Linked DNA regions of Xenopus tropicalis. The protein of the gene in region 2 purifies or fractionates together with the protein of the main gene of each other region. This does not show direct contact. Links are inferred from orthologs where the notes say so. Each region holds a gene or a part of one and is shown on either strand. Other genes may lie near its edges.

Region 1 (3,270 bases), on a different chromosome or scaffold from region 2:
TCCATTACTAGGTGCCTAGAGGAAGACAGTATACTCTGAACATGCTTATTATGGGCTAATATCTATGCTAGCACCATTTTATTTTTACGGTATCTCCAATCAAAGCATGTAAACAAACTAGGCTGACACTCCTGATACAGTTATTTGTCACTAATCTCACTATTGGTCATGTTAAGCTGGTCACAGACCCCAGTTATGGGATGTCTGTCCCATGATTAGCCCACGCCTCCTATTGGCATCTTATGAAGGAATAATGATACTTCTGAAGGACTAGAAATGAGAAGGAAAACTGCAACCAGAAAAGAACAAGAATGGTTTATGCAAGTCTGGTGGCAAGTGGCAAGCTGGGCTCCAACGTCACAGAAGCTAGGACACAACAAAGCAAAATGACCATAATTACATAAAATATTACTTAAAAATATTTCCTTTTGCTACATATAAACGGGAAATCAAAACTACAGCATGAAAGTATACCATACCATGATGAATCAGGATAACAGGCTTACCTAAAGCATCTCTTGCAGTACAGATCATCATCACAGTCATGACACCTCAAAATAGCATCCTCATTACAAATGCAACACCATGGCAGCTCCTCTTCATCACTGTCAGCCTCTCTGGGAGTTGTTCTTGCAGCTGGAGGTTGGCTTTTTGTGGTGACCTTGAAAAGGGCAAATGAAACACTTGGCACCAGCTTTTAGATTTAACTATACAGTTTCACTGCTGAACTTTGGAAGCTGAGGATGGTGGGAGCTGCTAGTTTAGCTATATGTGTAGAATGAGAGAGGAACTAAGGAGCAGGTTATTAGAGGTGCATAGCGAGTATCGGTGAGTATCTGGGGATCAGAGTTCAGAGATGTATAGTGAGACACAAACTGCTCTGAATGTGAGGATCGTTCATTTGATATTCTAAATCAGTGCTGTCCAACTTCTGTTGTAACGAGGGCCGGAATTTTTCCGACCTACGTGGTGGAGGGCCGATAATGGAAGCCAGTTTTGACCACTCCCCTTTTTGAAACCGCACCTACTTGAAACCACACCCATGTTATCACATGGCCATACCCATATTAATGGTTGTAGTACAGCAAAAACCTGCCATACTCTGCCTGCCCTACCCTGCCTGTGTGTGCCATACTCTGCCTTCCCTACCCTGCCTGTGTGTGCCATACTCTGCCTTCCCTACCCTGCCTGTGTATGCCATACTCTGCCTTCCCTACCCTGCCTGTGTGTGCCATACTCTGCCTTCCCTACCCTGCCTGTGTATGCCATACTCTGCCTTCCCTACCCTGCCTGTGTGTGCCATACTCTGCCTTCCCTACCCTGCCTGTGTGTGCCATACTCTGCCTTCCCTACCCTGCCTGTGTGTGCCATACTCTGCCTTCCCTACCCTGCCTGTGTGTGCCATACTCTGCCTTCCCTACCCTGCCTGCGTGCCATACTCTGCCTTCCCTACCCTGCCTGTGTGTGCCATACTTTCACTGTGTTTGCCATTCTTGGCTGGTTTGTGCCATACTTGGCCTGTGTGTGCCATACTCTGCCTGTGTGTGCCATACTCTGCCTTCCCTACCCTGTCTGTGTGTGCAATACTCTGCTTGCCCTATGATGCCTGTGTGTATGGCACAATGCTGGCACTGCTCCTACAGTCTGCACAATAACTATATATTAAAAACTTTTTAATTGCAGTACCACCTCAGTATATGTCCTTTTTGTAGTGTGCAGGGTGTATTTGTGGGTTTCTACTGCTCCTGAGGTGTGAACAGGGGAACAATATGGGTGATTACAGCCTGAGCCTGAGGTGTGAACACTGCAGGGGGGAACAATGCAGAGATTAAAAGGTGTGAACAACACAGGGAATTACATATTTAAACAATACAGCCTGATTGCAGCCTGAATCTGAGGTGATAACCATGCAGGGGGGCAGTTAATCACAGTACTGATACCATTTAAAGCTTACACAAGAGTAAGCCATCAAAGCAGCCAGACAGGTGGGGGGCCCGCGGGCCGCCAGTTGGACAGCACTGTTCTAAATGGCAGCGGAAGCCAGTGCAGGGATTGGCAGAGGAGGAGAGTTGGCTGAGGTGTATGAGCCTGGCAGAAGTATTCATTATGGACTGGATAATGGGGTTATTAACCACTTGTGGGATGTTATGGGTGTTGGGTTGGGGAAAGATAACCATTTCTGTCTTAGATATGTTTAATTTAAGGTAGCCTTGGGGAATCCAAGTAGAGATAGCAGACAGGCAGAAAGAGACCAGAGTTAAGAGCTCTGGTTTAAGATCAGGAGAGGAGAGATATGAGTGTATATGAGAGATATGAGTAGCATAGTGGTGGCTCTGGAAACTATATGAATCTATTCATTTGCCAAGGAAAGAAGTATAGAGAGGAAATAACAAGGGGTCTAGAACAGAGCCTTGTGGGACCCTGACAGAGAGAGGTAAAGGAGATGGCAGATGCCACTTACACTAGGTCAATATCTACTGATCACATACCTTTCCTTGTAGATGAAGTTTATTACCCACTGGCATGTTTAAGCTGCTGGCTTCTGGTCTGTTTTGATCAGGGGGGATGTTAAAGCCGCTGGCTTCATCTAGAACAACTTCCTCTGAGAGCTGCAACAGAGATCAGAAAAACAGCAGTCTGCTTGTGTTTGTATATACACGAACAATTATTAATAGGGGCTGCCCCCACGTTACACCCAAATTCCTTCTGTTCAGAACTGTGCAGCAATGCAGTCAGAAAGAAAATCAGTTCAGTCAAGATTCTAGCCCAATAAAAATGTCAAGTGAAATATTCCCTGATCTTTCTTGTTTAGCGGTCTCTCTGCAAGGGCAAATTGTTATTTACAGGTTTACATTAATGGGATTCTGTCATGAATTTTATAGTATACTTTTTATTTCTAAATTACACCGTTTACATAGCAAATAATTCACTCTACCATTTAACATTTTATTCTTGTAACAGCAAATGTATTTTTTAGCTGTAATATTGGTGTGTAGGCGCCATCTCAGTGCATTGTGCCTGAGTCTGAGCTTTCAGAAGGAGCCAGCGCTACACATTAGAACTGCTTTCAGGTAACCTATTGTTTCTCCTACTCCCATGTAACTGGAGGAGTCCCAAGCTGGACTTGGATTTCTTACTATTGAGTGCTATTCTGATACCTACTGGGAGCTGCTATCTTGCTCCCTTCCAATTGTTCTCAGCAGTAAAGTGTGACTGAAGTTTATCAGAGCACAGGTCACATGTTTGTGGCACCCTGGAAAATGAATATGG
Region 2 (3,829 bases):
AGGGTCATGCTTTTATTAAGAGCATCATTTTTCTGCTGCTGGGTGGCTGCATTCTCAGTTCCTTAACACACTGTAATAACAAACAAGTTGGGTATTTGTCCTCTCCAATTTACTGTACACTATTATAGAGAATATTTTGGCACTTTGTACATTCTAGTTGGTTTAACTTAAAAAAAAAAAAAAGCAAATAGGTAATAAACAGAATAAGACGTTGCATAACCAATATTCCTACACCTTACCTTCTATGTAAGTAGAATTACATGGAAGACAAAATGCTATTTATAATTAGGACCTGTTTCTAATTTGGGAGTGTAAGCTAAATGTGCACGATGTGAGCAACTGAAAGTATTTTTATTAGTCAGTGCAGCTGGTCTGTATTGCTAGTTTAGCATCACCACAGCAGAGAAAGGACAATAAATAACAAAGATAAAATAATAGAGTTGAAAGTACCCATCACATTACCCTTGCCACCCATCATACATAGTGCTGCAGTGTGTCCTGCATGAGGACAGGACAAAAATGCTTATTTAAAATGGGTCAATGACATCTGTTCCATGTATACACCCTATTTACAAATGAGCACCAGACAGATTATCCACTCAGAAAGAATATATTTACACAGCTCAACATATATACCCAGTAATGCAAAAAAGCAGAAACTGGCAGGGATAGATGCAGAAGGGCAGTAGGAAACCACCTCCACTGTATAATCCCAAAGGGATTGCAGGATAAGGAGTGGCAAAATGTCAGATTATCAATTAGAATAAAAGTCAGTATCATTCAACAGGCAGGCAGATCTCTTCTGTTTCATATGGTCTAGGGTTGGGAAAAGGGAAAGAAAAAAAAAAGAGTCACAAAAGACTGGTGACTGATGGCAAATAAATGTAAACTTCAGAAACAGAAGCATATTGAAGGTAAAATGGATGTGCCCAGGTTTTGAAGACCCTGGGGGAAAATTTAGGAGTCCTGTATATACAGGTGGGCATCTCCAGAGTCGGCAAATCCTTGTGTTGTAACTGGTGGGGGCACTTTGAGATAAGCAAGCGCATAAGGTGTCCAAAAGGCATGCCACCTCACACTGTACTGCACATCATCCCTCCTGGCCAAAGTCTTCTGTAAATTTCTTCACTTTCAGAAGATCATCTGAATTTACTGTTGGTCGAGTAGTAGCCAAAGACCTTAGCATATCAGACTGTGCAAGAAGATAAGAATTAGATTTCACGGTGGGAAATATTGCTTATTAATTTAGTAATGTTCAGTCATTACTTACCATACAGACAACAGGCTCTTGTAGTTTATCACTTGGCACCTCCATCCAAGTCATTTCTACTGCCCCTGGGTCTCCAGGAGAGCAAGGTGTTAAGAGATCATCAACAATGATCCCTGGATTTGTGCGTGAGGGACCACGGACCTTTACACAGCAAAAGAAGTAGAATGACTATTTTTCCTAGGGAAAAAAAATACCCTAATGGATTTCTCTGCGTTCACTTACTTTTTTGAAGTGTGTGGCAGATTGCACCTTGCGCACGGGCTGCATAAGAGCATCACGCACAATGATACTAATGTCTGCACCAGAGTAACCGTCAGTTTTCTTGGCAAGCTCACGTATATTCTCTTCGCCCAAACTGTGTGGAGTATTTCCCAAGTGCAGCCGAAACATTTGGGCACGGGCTGCCTCTTCAGGTAGAGGGATGTATATTCTCTTCTCAAACCTAAACCCAAGCAGAATTCAACTCAGTTTATGGTGATATAGAATAGGCATTGCTTTTTATACAATGAGCCTGTTTCTCATCATTAGAAACAGAGAAGTTACTGACGAATTATCAACATTGTACTATTATCCACACATACTCATATTTATGTTAAATATAACATTTTGTGTAATGAAAGCAAATATAATTCTATGCCACATTAATCATGTTTAATTATTTTGAAGTTATTAAATATGCTTTGCATATTTTGCATAACATTTGTGTATACCTCTCCTTTAAATATTTAGTACTACCTTACCTTCTTCGAATGGCAGAATCTAGTACCCATGGTATGTTTGTGGCTCCCAAAACAAGTATACCATCATTGTTGTTACCAACACCTGCAAAACAAAGTGGTGCTCAGCAGCTGGCAGACAATAGATGAATTACCTGCATACCTGACAGACTGTAGAACCTAGCACTTGCTGTCTAAAACCCTAAAAGTAGTTAGATAAATAATCCCTATTTATACATCCTTTTTTATTTTTACTATACCAGAATTTTGCACTCTGCTGCACAGCTTTATAAATTCACACGATACTATACTTTGTAGCATGGTGTTAAAGAGGTCAATTGCTGCAATAGAAGCCAGGATTTCAAGGAAAGCATCCCTATTCACAGCAACAGATGTGATAAATGTGAAATGCCAATGTTTAGAACAGCCAACTATTTTTAAATTTTGTCTTAATATTCCTTCCAGGCCACCTGATGTTAGTTGCTCTGAAGCTTCAGCTGTTCTGCTGACCCAAATATAAATAAGACTGCACAGAACAGAACACCATCTTAAGAGAATGAAGATCAAAGAAAAAACCTGGGGGTGGTTCACCATTATTTTCAAAAAGTTTTAGTATGTTTTAAGCAACTTTTCAACTGATCTTTATTATTCGTTATAGTTTTTTTTAATTATCTGCTTCTTCTTCTGACTTTCAAATGGAGGTCACTGATCCCAGTAGCCAAAAACTATTGCTTTGTGAAACTACAGTTTAACTGTTATTGTTACTTTTTAGTACTTATTTTTCTATTTAAGTCCTATTCCTATTCATTTATCAATCTTTCAGATAAGCCACACCCTGGTTGCTAAGGTAATTTGGATCCTAGCAACCAAATATAGCTGCTGAAACTCCAAACGAAAGAGCTGCTGAACAAAACCAGCAATAATTAAACAAAACTACAAATAATTCAAAATGAAGACCAATTGAAATTGCACTGTCTAAGAATATTACTCTACATAATACTAAAGGTTAACAACACCTTTAAGGGACCCATTAATGAAGATACAGCCAAAACTAGTACTGCGATAATTTAAGGCACCCTTTGGCTTAATTGACCCCCTAGTGAAGTGAAGCCTATGAGTACTTTTTTTTTTAATATATTTCCCCTTTTTTAAAATTGGCATGTTTTAAACCTTTTTCACCCCCTGATTTAGGATTGGTTCAATAACTAAGGGCTTTTGCTGAACATATATCTTGCCCATTCTCTTATTTACTTCTTGCTCTAAACGGCACAATTTGAAAATGAAACTAAAGCCACCTTAACAAAAAACCACAGTTATCACATAATTTAAAAAAAAAAAAAAAAAAAAATGGGCAAAACGTATATGTTCAGCATTAACATGATGCTTGCTAAGCAACCTTTAGATGATATCAAAACCATCACACCCTGCTACACATTTTAAGAAAACTGCCTAAGTTTAGAAATAATTGGCTTTAGATAAATAGTTTTGTGTTTTGCTACAATTTTGGGAACAAGGAAGCTTTGTAATAGAGCTTTGGGAATGCTGTAAGGAACGTAATGCTGCTATGGGAACATTGCAGGCAATAAGATGTGCTACGAGGAGTCTGCAACAGTATTGCTGCTATCTTCATCAGCTTCAAATGTATATACTTCAAAAAAACATATGGATGAAATCTAAAAACCGAGAAAGTCAAATCTGTACTACAGCACCTAAACTTTCAACCCTAAAGCAGCAAATGATAAAGAGTAACACCACTAAGGTTGGGGTTTGTACAGTTCAAACATTAGTATTACCCTGCATCTGCACCAGGAACTCTGTCTTGATTCTACGGGCAGCTTCACTC

What was found.
Region 1: the proteins of vps4a (region 2) and zfyve19 purify together in Homo sapiens (affinity purification with mass spectrometry; 3 studies listed by BioGRID and IntAct, counting the BioPlex papers as one, with this or other methods). This does not show direct contact. The link is inferred for Xenopus tropicalis from reciprocal best matches to the Homo sapiens genes VPS4A and ZFYVE19.

The regions. Positions count from the first base shown.
Region 1 is NC_030684.2:115,174,129-115,177,398, reverse strand, and holds part of zfyve19 (abscission/NoCut checkpoint regulator), read right to left. Parts: intron 2,610-3,270; coding exon 2,490-2,609; intron 662-2,489; coding exon 507-661; intron 1-506. UniProt on the Homo sapiens protein: Key regulator of abscission step in cytokinesis: part of the cytokinesis checkpoint, a process required to delay abscission to prevent both premature resolution of intercellular chromosome bridges and accumulation of DNA damage.
Region 2 is NC_030680.2:61,134,979-61,138,807, forward strand, and holds the end of vps4a (vacuolar protein sorting-associated protein 4A), read right to left. Parts: coding exon 3,780-3,829; intron 2,093-3,779; coding exon 2,011-2,092; intron 1,713-2,010; coding exon 1,493-1,712; intron 1,412-1,492; coding exon 1,271-1,411; intron 1,193-1,270; coding exon 1,091-1,192; 3' UTR 592-1,090; downstream 1-591. UniProt on the Homo sapiens protein: Involved in late steps of the endosomal multivesicular bodies (MVB) pathway. Recognizes membrane-associated ESCRT-III assemblies and catalyzes their disassembly, possibly in combination with membrane fission.